3 linked regions of the Mus musculus genome follow. The protein of the gene in region 1 interacts with the protein of each later gene in a pairwise test. Links are inferred from orthologs where the notes say so. Each region holds a gene or a part of one and is shown on either strand. Other genes may lie near its edges.

Region 1 (3,719 bases):
GAGATCCCTTTTTTTCTTTCTTTCTTTTTAAAAAAAGATTTACTTATCTTTATATGAGCATACTGTAGCCACCATGTGGTTGCTGGGAATTGAACTCAGGACCTCTGGAAGAGCAGTCAGTGCTCTTAACCACTGAGCCAACTCTCCAGCCCTGAGATCCCATCTTTTAGAAAGAAAGAAAGAAAGAACGAAAGAACAAAAGAAAAGAAGAGAAGAGAAGAGAAGAGGAGAGGAAAAGGAAAGGAAAAGGAAAGAAAAAAAAAAGAAAAGAAAAGAAAAGAAAAGAAAAGAAGAGAGAAAGCAAACTGGGCAGTGGTACACACTTTTAACGCCTTTAATTCTTGCACTAGAGAGGCAGAGGCAGGCCATCTCTGAATTCGAGGCCAACCTGATCTATAGAGTGAGTTCCAGGGCTATACAGAGACACCTTGTCACATCAAAACAAACAACAAAACAAAAAAATGGGGCTGGAGAGATAGCTCAATGGTTAGGAGCAATGAGTGGCCTTCATTAGGACCTGGGATCAATTCTTAGCACCCACATGGCAGTTCACAACTGTCTGTAACTCCACTCAGAGATCTGACATCCTCAAACACAGATACATGTAGGCAAAACACCAATGCAGATACAAATAAACAAATTAAAAAAAAAAAAAAAGATGTTAACTCACCATACAATTAAAAAAATAAAAGGTCTGGCATTTATTTAACTCAGAGAACTACTGAGAGCTGAGATTAAATGTATACTCCACCACAATCAGCCTTTATTTATTTGTTTTTAGAGACACGACGTTCTAGGACCTAGAGAAGTGGCTCAGCATTTAGAAATACTGGCTGCTCTTGCACAGCACCTGAGTTTGAGTCCCAGTCCCTACACGGTAGCTCAAAACCATTTGTAACTCCAGTCGGAGTGGATCCAATTCCCTCTCCTGGCTTCCTGAGGCCATCACACACACACACACACACACACACACACACACACACACACGGTATACAAACATATATGCAGGCAAATTACCCACACAGACAAAATAAAAACAGATTGAAAAACAAAACAAAACAAAAAAAACCAAGCCATAGGTCCTAGCTCTATAGCTGAGAATGGCCTGAAGCCCCAGGAAGAAACAGTAACCATTACTTACTTTGTGCCTCTTCACTTGGATTCTCTCGAGCCTTCAGCAGCTCCTCAAATTCCACTGACATTGGCACACAGATCTGAGGGAAGGAGAAGAGTTCAGGTGGGCCTGGCGATGTCTCAGGCACACACAGGCCTGGGCTTCTAAGACTTGCTTTGGCTTTGACCTTGAGTGTACAGAGCTGCCTACTTAGTGTTCTCCACTTCCCTTGCTGCATAGCCGGGCAGACATTGATTGGCACAAAACACAGCATGCTAAGGAAGGGCTCCTTTGGAGGAGGCAGTCCAAGAGATATTTTACGAAAAAGCTGGCATTGGACATGAATCCTGAAGGGGTAACGACCTCTGCAAGTGAACAGAGCACCACTGTGTTGGTAGATTTCAGGGCAGAGCTAGGTGCACAGTATATTGAGTAGGAGACATTCTTGTGAAGCAGCCCTAGTGCTTCACCGTGTTCTCTTACTGCAGAGGGATGCCAAGAGGATGTCACTTAACATGCAGTGAAGTGGCACGTTCTTTCTTGGAGTGACATCTACATGGCATAGCTCCATTTCCTTTGCATCTTTCCCTTTTGTTAACGGCCAGGTCTAAGGACACTAAGTTGGGAGGCCTTACCTCATTTGGGTGCTTCCGATGGAATTCCTTTATCTGCTTGAGTCTGTTATAGAATTCAGCGAACTCGTTGGGTCCTGAGATAGCATTGAGCTCCTCCTTCCGCAGTCTGCAAGATATCAACAAACCCGAAGAGCATAAAGCACACAGCCCATGGTCTCACCAGGGCTCCTCAAAAGCACTAATTGTTAGAAGGGATGTGACCGTCACTTACCCGTCCTTATCATCATACAAATCCCTCAGGTTCCCACTGACCTCCATGTACCTCTGAAACAGAAGCGCAAAGCCATCAGAATGAAGCAAATTTGTACCACAGGGCTAAGTAAACAAGAAAGGATGTCTTGGCAAAACCCAAGGAAAACTCATGAGATACATGGTCTTCAAAGTTCCACCACTTTTAAGAGACAGCTTGATCCCGAGGTGGTTGCATACACTTTTAATCCCAGCACTTGGGAGGCAGAGATAGGACATCTGATTAGGTACCCTAGAGGGGCTTGTCTAAGAACTCAGGGGTAGAAATCACGCAGGGCCACTCAACCTTCCCAGCCTGCACTTTTCCCGCCCAGCCCGACCCCAGGGGAAGCGGACGGCGGCGCACTCACATCTTGCATGGCCCGAGTGCGGTGATCGGAATTGATCTGGTCCCGAAGCTGCAGAAAGGCAAACGGTAACACATACGTTGTTACTTTGAGTTTAGCAGTTGGAAAGAGCACCCGAGGGGTGATGCGCTTATTGGTTTAGGTCCCAGGGGCTGAAGCAGGAAGATTGAGGGGCCCTCGGAGGACGTTAACGAGGCCAGAGTGCCGAGCCAGCTTAGGAGGAGGGTGAGGATGGGGCGCAGAGAAGCTCCGAGGCCAAATACAGCGCGAGGGCTCGGCAAAGGACCCAGGCCCGCCTCCTGATGCGGCCCGGACCACGGCTCACTCACCGTGGACTTCTTCGTAAGCATCTCTTTGGCCATAACATCCATAAGCCGTTCCTTCTCCTCATGATAGCGCCGTTGCTGCTCTAAAATTGTCTCCATTTTCCCTTGGCCACGGCGTTTCAAGGCGGACCACTAACACTGCCGGAAACACCGCCTGCCGCCTTTCAGCCAGCGTCTCAGCGCGCAGCATCCGGCTGCACCAAAGTTCCGCGTGTCCCGGAAGTGTCTTGGGGGACTCAAGAAAAAAGGAACACCACGAAGAGAGCAAGCGGGTGCTATCCGCGACCGTGGCTACGCTTCCCCCTGCTGGCTGGGGGTCTGAAGGAGCGCTGCCTCCGCGTTGAAAGCTGGCTGTCTCTAAGAAGCCTGCAAGAATCCTGTAGGCTGAGGTTGAGAGACAGCTGGCTTGCCCGGGGCTTGCTGCAGAAAGCTGGGCCGGCAGGGACACACTAGCAGGAACGGATAAGTTGAAGGATACAGAACGGAAAGGGGAACTGGAAGCAGCAGTAGTTTTCAGTGTGTGACCTCTGGTGATGTTTTCCCCTTGTCTGGACTTTAGTGTGTTTGTCAGTAAAGTGGAGATGGTGGTGGGTTTGTTCTTAATAAAACTCATACATATTTGAACACAACCTTTGTTTATTGGCAGAGGAGTCTTTAAGAAAAACGTGGTACACTCAAGCAATGATATGCTTGCTGTTCAGCACAGGTTAACTTCTGATTCTCTGTAATTCTTTTTTTTTTAAAAGATTTATTTATTTATTATATGTAAAGTACACTGTAGCTGTCTTCAGACACACCAGAAGAGGGCATCGGATCTCATTACGGGTGGTTGTGAGCCACCATGTGGTTGCTGGGATTTGAACTTCCGACCTTCAGAAGAGCAGTCGGGTGCTCTTACCCACTGAGCCATCTCACCAGCCCCAATTCCATGTAATTCTTTATTTTTCTGCTTTTCGCCTACCACTTGCTGGAATTACAGGTATGAGCCACCACACCTAGCCACTGTATGGCTTAGAAAATGAAATCTAGACTGCCTTTCCTTAAAAGA
Region 2 (3,653 bases), on another chromosome or scaffold:
GCAAACGTTTATGGGGATCTAACAAAGTAACTTTATGTTAGTTGAATCTGGTATTTATAAAGCCAGGCTTGCCACACACCTTTAATTACAGTGCTCGGGAGACAAAGGCAGGTGGATATCTGAGTTTGAGACCAGCCTGGTCCTACAGAGCAAGTTCCAGGAGAGCACTGCCTCAAAAATCCAAATAAATGAATAAGTAAATAAATAAATGAGATAAAATCAGGCTTGTACTTTGTTTTTGTTTTTGTGTTTTGTTTTGTTTTGATTTGTTTTAGTTTTTCAAGACAGGGTTTCTCTGTGTAGCCCTGGCTGTCCTGGAACTCACTTTGTAGACCAGGTTGGCCTTGAACTCAGAAATCTGCCTGCCTCTGCCTCCCAAGTTCTGGGATTAAAGGTGTGTACCACCACTGCCTGGCCTCAGGCTTGTACTTTGTAAAAAATCTTTAATTTCACAATTGTAAGTAATTAATTTATATTGTAGTCTATAATAATAGAATTCCATGACAGATGAAGTTTTTTTTTATTAAAATATGTAGAAGCTAACATAGTTTGCCTCATATAAATAGACTCATGATCACTGGAGTCTGGGAAGGTTAGAAGGATAATGGATAGCAGGTACAAAAGGACAAGGAGATAGATGTTAATTTCAGAATTTTATAGCACAATATGGTAATCATAACCTGCAATAATTTATTATATAGATGTACATATATGTTTTAGTGGCTTGATTTGGTTTTGTTGGCAGTGCTAGAGACTGGACCCAGGGCTTTGTACATATTAGGCCAGCACTCACTTCCTGAGCTATAGACACAGACTTTATTATATATTTTTAAACAACTGAAAGGTCTCCAAAAAAAGTTTCCAACACAGAGAAGTGTAAATGTTTGAGGAGATAGAAATTCTGTTTACCATAGTTTAATTTTTATATGTTGCATATGTGCATTGGATATTATATTGTATCCTATAAATATATATACAAATACCATGTGTCAACTAAAATTTAGTTGAAGCAGTAGTACACACCTGTAACTCTGAAGGTTGAAGCAGAAAATCCTAAGTTCAAGGCCAGCCTGAGCAATATAGCAAGATCCTGGTTTTGCTGTTGTCGCTGCTGTTTAGGGTTTTAAGTCAGGTATATGACTATAATCCTAACGCTTGGGAGGTGGAAACATCAGGATCAGGGGCTCAAGATCACCCTTGGCCACATAAGAACTCTTGGCCAAGCCGGGCAGTGGTGGCGCACTAGGGAGGCAGAGGCAGACAGATTTCTAAATTCTTGGCCAGCCTGATCTACAGAGTGAGCTTCAGGATGGCTAGGGCTACACAGAGAAACCCTGTCTCAAAAACAAACAAACAAACAAACAAACAAACAAACAAATAAACAAACAAACCAACACCAAAAAAAAAAAAAGAACTCTTGGTCAGCCTGAGCTAATGAGAAACTTGTGGCTGGATGGAAAGACAGCGCAGCGCTTAAGAGCACATAGTCCTTCTCTTGCAGAGGAGCTCTGATCCGGCATCCACATCAGACAACATACAACTGCCAGGGGAACCAATACCTTTTCCTGGCCTCTGTTAAAAGCCACACTCAGGAAAACAAATTCATACACAGACACACTGTTTTGTCTTGTTTTGTTTTGTTTCTTTAAATCCCTTTTAACAAGCATGGCTAATAAAGGATTTGTTTGTTTATAATTTATGTTAAGACAATCAACAAAAGTGTGGTCAAAAGATTAAATATATTTCACCAACTAGGAATGGCAGAGAAGCACATGGAGAGGTTTTCAGTGGGATTGAACATTAGAAATGTATACATTTAAAAAATGAAATGTTACTATATTTAAGCTTAAATAGTTATAATTAGAAAGATTGACAATATCAGGTTTTTTAAGAATGTAGAAAAATGGTTTCATCATTCATTGCAGGAGGAAATATAAAACAATTTCTCCATTTGAGGAAGAAAAAGAATTGACAATTTCTTATAAAATTAAATGCACATCTTCAACCCCACTACTAAGTCTTCACCTCAAAGATCTGTAAACAGATCCACACAACTTTATTTATTATAGCCTGAAGTGTAATCTCCCCAAATGTCCATCAGCTGGAGAATAGGTAAACACATTGTGATGTATCCATTAAACAAAATTACTGCCATGTGCAACAAAGGTGAATCAAGGGAAGCACTGTGCTTTGTACAAAAGTCTAGATACAAAATACTGGCATGTGTGATCTGCATTAAATTAAAAATTCAAAAAGACACATCAAACCTGAAATAAAGCAGATTAGCAAGGAGTAAGGGCTGGAGCTATACAGAAAGAACTAATTGCAAAGAGACTTGTGGAAATGTTCAAGCGCCTGTGTGTGTGTGTGTGTGTGTGTGTGTGTGTGTGTGTGTGTGTGTGTGTGTGTTGGTGTGTGTGTGTCTTTGTCTGTGTGTTGTCTGTGTCTGTGTGTGTATAGGTATGCCCAGAGATGTGCATGTGGCTATCAGAGGTCTCCTATAAGTATCTTCCTCATCACTCTCCATCTTATTTTTTGAGGCAGGTTTCTTACTGAATCTGGAATTCACTCAGCCCAACTGTCTGGCCTGCAGATCTTATAAGAACTACATTTTTCCCCAACCTCATCCCCAGTGCTGGGGCTACAGTTGTATGCCGCCATGCCTGGCTTTTTACGTAGGCACTAAGGATCCAAACTCAGATCCTTGGGTTTGTTCAATGCTAAGCCAACTCTCCAGCCCTCATCTATCTCTGTCTTGATCACAGAGATATTTACATGTTTGTCAAAACTCATCAGTTTGTGCACTGCATATATTTAGGTAAAAGTGGCAGATTCTGCTATATTAATTATACTTCAGTGAAGTCAGTTTCTTTCAGTGTTAGTCATCTGGAAAATGTATCAGGGATATATTTATGATTTTAACTAGGTTAATAAGAAACAATAATATTAGATATATGACTTCTATAAAAGCTATCTAAATTCTTATTTTTATATATATCTTATCTAGAATATTATTTCTTTTTCTTGAAATAATACCACTTGTGTTAATCTTGTCCTGTTCAGTCCTCTGATATCTGCAAGAATTCATACAGCTGATGTAGCAAAACAAGATAAAATTGTGGCTAGTTCCACACATTATAGATCAAACAAAATCAGGCTGAGGAGTAATTCTAATATCAGACTTTTATGTATTATTAGTTCAAAGACACATATTCTTAAATCATAGTAGCAGGAGAAGAAGAAAAAGATCTTTTTGACTAAACTCCACCCAAGTCCATCTCCATCCTCTCTCAAACTACAGAACTAACTCTGGCCACAGATGAAATATAGATTAGGGGCCATAGGACTCAATAGCTCCTTCCCACTATACCTGGAGAGAGAATAGCCTGCATTTCCTTCCAGATGATATACTGGATAGGACCTTTGAAGCGGCCTAGGCTCAGCTTTTTGGCGATGAGCTGTCTAGGTACAATTGTCTTCATTCCTTTCTCCATGCTGTAAGGGACACACAAACAGTTTAGTTTTAGACATTCTCCAGGGGTAGAAGAAGGAGGGTAGAGAGAACCATGAAGAAACACTTGCCTCTCTATGAGCTTTGTGATGTCCTAGAAGAGAAAAGAAGAAATAGAGAAGTCAGATGCCTGTTCATCATC
Region 3 (3,653 bases), on another chromosome or scaffold:
GGGAAAAGACCAACAAAAGATCACATTCCAGCACTTTTGTATCTCCAGAGAAAATACTGCAGACTTTAGAAGGCTCAAATCAACACTCCTTAGGAACAGCTGAATGAGAACCATCTGGAAGAGATCTGAGTAGCTTACTCATAGAGAACAACTTTGTTATAATTTCTCCATCCCTGTCTACAAACTGGTACTTAATCTCTGTGGAAAAAAATTACAAAATACACTAACAACTGATTAATTCAAAATTGGTAAAGTAACAAATTTGAACCTGAGCCTGGTGATTCAGGCCTATAATCTCAGCTACTCAGAGGATCACAAGTTACTAGATTGCTTAGGCTACAAAGAGAGTTTAAGACCACTGTGGGCAACTCAGACCCTATCTGAAAAATTTAAAAAGGTTTTTAAAAAAGAGGCTGCGAATGAAGCCCAGCTGCAGATGCAGACCTAGCGAAAGGCCCTGCATTCAACTCACTAAACATACAATTTAAAAATCACATCCAAGGCTGGAGAGATGACTCAGCAGTTAGAGTCCCAGCTGTTCTTGCACAGGACCAGGTTCAATTCCCAGCACCTACATGGTGGCTCACAACCATCAGTAACTCCAGTTTCAAGGGGCCTGATAACCTCTTTGCTGTAAGCATGTAGCCTACATACAGGTAAAGCACTCATACACAGATAATACAATACAATGATCACATAGCCAGTTTTCTTCCTGGATATTCCGCTCAAATGCCTTTCCTAGTGTCTCTCTCTCTGTGACTCACTACTCATTCTCCATCTCTCACTCTGACCACAGCCTATTATGCCTACTACTTATAGTGCATGCCAAAGCATGCTACACAATCTACACCACTACAAAGGCTAGCAGACCTATAACAGTTAAAAAGCAGTGGTTCTCAACCTTCCTAGTGCTGTGACCCTTTTATAGTTCCTCATGTTGTGGTGACCCCCAACCATAAATTAATATCATTGCTACTTCATAACTGTAATTTTGGTACTGTTCAGAATCATAATGTATATCCGTGTTTTCCAGTGGTCTTAGGTGACCGCTGTGAAAGAGTTGTTCGATCCCCAGAGGGGTCACAACCCACAGGTGAGAACTGCTGTTAGAGTCACCTAAAAAGGTTGTGGTAGTTCTTAACTGTAATCCCTCCCAGGATGAAGAATTGGGAGCATCATGAGTTCAAAGTCAGCCTGAGCTGCAAAGAATCTAGGCTATTGTGGACTACATCGTAAGACTTGCCTCGAAAACAAGCAGAGGCAGGAGAGATGGCCACTAAACAAGAGCACTTGTTTCCAACACCCACACCAGGTGGCTCACGGTCACCTGCAATTCCAGCTCTAGAGAATCCAATGCCCTCCTCTGCCCTCTGTGGATAACCACCCCCCACCAACACAGTCACATAGTCATCCCTGCATACATATAAAAATAAACCTTTAAAAACCAAACAAAAGTCCACAACCTGCACGTGCCAGTTCAGCCGTGTGAAAGCTCCCTATTAGTTATGGGAACCTACAGAGTTCCCATACAGGGATGGAGAAACAATGCAGAAGAACATTCTAGAACTACTCACCCAGGTGGGTACCTTCTTCCACCAAGTCACCCACCATCTCTGCACCCAACTCCACTTCTTCCTCTGGCTGGCCAAGGACCTCTGGGTTAGAAAAAATACAGTATAAATCCAGGAGAAGAAAAACTTACTGCATGCTGATCAGATGCCAATGTACAAATGATATTAACAGCAAATCAATATTAACAGCTAAGAGGACATAAGAGCTGATGTTACTGTCACTTTTCCCTAGACATTTCTGGCCAGTGGACTGTCAGGCTGCTGCTCTTTGATCCTTCATTAAGGTAACTAGGCTTAGGTGCCATTGTCTCCCTAACACCCCCACCTCTGTCCAGACAGCTGAAGTTCCGCCAAGGATTCCTTCCACAGTGCCTAATTCCAGCCTTGTGGAGGCACCGTGGCACAGGAAAACAGCCTCAAAGAGAGCATGTAACCCATCTGGGGTAACAGTCACCCCACTTCCCTTGCCCTCACTGTGGTCTAGCCAGGGGCCTCCTTGGTATTTCTCCAAGGACCCACATTTGAAAAGAATTTGTCTTAGAAGAAAAATATGCATGCATTATCGAGTATGTATTAGTAATTTTTATACTAAACACTTCCACACAGTGCTTCCAGTCTACCAACAATGTGCAGATCACAGTGGCTGGTGATGACTCTGGCTTACTGCCAAGAAAAAGGTTTTTTCTGCTTTTGCTTTTTTGGTTTTTTTTTAAGAGTTTATTTTATGTATTTGTGTACACTGTAGCTGTCTTCAGACACACCAGATGAGGGCATTGGATCTCATTACTGATGATTGTTAGCCACCATGTGGTTGCTGGGAATTGAACTCAGAAACTCTGGAAGAGCAGTCAGTGCTCTTAACCACTGAGCCATCTCTCCAGCCACCCCCCCCCTTTAAAGATTTATTTATTTATTATATGTAAGTACACTGTAGCTGTCTTCAGACACCCCAGAAGAGGACATTGGATCCCATTACAGATAGTTGTGAGCCACCATGTGGTTGCTGGAATTTGAACTCAAGACCTTTGAAAGAGCAGTCAGTGCTCTTAACAGCTGAGCCTTCTCTCCAGCTCAAGAAAAAGGTTTTTTTTCAGCCTGTGCTGCATGTCTCATCTCAAGATACAAGATTCCTTTAAATTTTTATTTTATTATTAAATATTATTATTTATTATTAGATAATATGTATATGCTATCTAAGAGTCTGGATACATCTGCAACACAGTGCACATGTGGTGGCACAGGGCAACTTAAGGAGTCAGTTGTCCCCTCCCATCACGGGTTCCAGGGATCGAATGACAGTTATCAGGCTTGCATGGAAAGCACTTCTATCCATTTAATGGTTCCTAAGTTAAAAGATTTCTCATCAAATAATCTTAAATATTAAAGATAGCATATACACATCGTGTTTTGAATGAGAATGGCCCCCTAGGCTCGTTTGTTTGAAAACTTGGTCTTCAGTTGGTAGAACTGTTTGGAAACAGGAGGTGTGGCCTTGTTAGAGGAGGCGTCTCAATGGGGGCAGGATTTAAGATTTCTAAAGTCTCGATTAAGTTAGTCTTCTCTGCATCCTGCTAGAGGTTCAAGATATGAGCTCTCAGGGTTGTTCCAGCCACTGCCACCCCTGATATCTCTGCTTGGCCATCAAGGACTCTAACCCTCTGAAACCATAAACCCCAAATACATTTCTCTTCTCTAAGCTGCCTCGGTCATAGTTTCTTACACAGTGATAGGAAACTAATTAATAAAATACTTTATAGAGATGTTATTAAAAACCTATATTATAGTTTATCAATGATATTCAAATAGTCTCAAGAAGCCATTTTGTTACCAGAGAAGAAATATAAAAGGCTCATCCCCGAGACACTTTCAAGTCTCTTCAGGTGAGAGGACCTGAAGGGTATCATTCCTTAGCTCAGCAGAAGATTCAGAGGATGACATGCAGTCAGGAGAGCTCTGAGAGAATTTTAGGGAGAAAACTTTCACTCACTCAGAGACACCAGCGTCTCATAGTTGCTTTCCATAACATTTCTGTAGAGCTCCTTCTGCCAGTCCTCCAGGTTCTCCCACTCCTGCTCCGAGAAA

What was found.
Region 2: the proteins of Sf3a3 (region 1) and Trim69 interact in binary tests that used the Homo sapiens proteins (3 or more experiments, as listed by UniProt). The two-hybrid records come from large-scale screens. The link is inferred for Mus musculus from reciprocal best matches to the Homo sapiens genes SF3A3 and TRIM69.
Region 3: the proteins of Sf3a3 (region 1) and Zfp212 interact in binary tests that used the Homo sapiens proteins (3 or more experiments, as listed by UniProt). The two-hybrid records come from large-scale screens. The link is inferred for Mus musculus from reciprocal best matches to the Homo sapiens genes SF3A3 and ZNF212.

Annotation. Positions count from the first base shown.
Region 1 is NC_000070.6:124,713,946-124,717,664, reverse strand, and holds the start of Sf3a3 (splicing factor 3A subunit 3), read right to left. Parts: upstream 2,805-3,719; 5' UTR 2,771-2,804; coding exon 2,675-2,770; intron 2,397-2,674; coding exon 2,349-2,396; intron 2,014-2,348; coding exon 1,961-2,013; intron 1,856-1,960; coding exon 1,750-1,855; intron 1,215-1,749; coding exon 1,142-1,214; intron 1-1,141. UniProt on the Homo sapiens protein: Component of the 17S U2 SnRNP complex of the spliceosome, a large ribonucleoprotein complex that removes introns from transcribed pre-mRNAs.
Region 2 is NC_000068.7:122,174,192-122,177,844, reverse strand, and holds part of Trim69 (E3 ubiquitin-protein ligase TRIM69), read right to left. Parts: intron 3,606-3,653; coding exon 3,583-3,605; intron 3,496-3,582; coding exon 3,371-3,495; intron 1-3,370.
Region 3 is NC_000072.6:47,927,052-47,930,704, reverse strand, and holds part of Zfp212 (zinc finger protein 212), read right to left. Parts: coding exon 3,559-3,653; intron 1,656-3,558; coding exon 1,575-1,655; intron 1-1,574.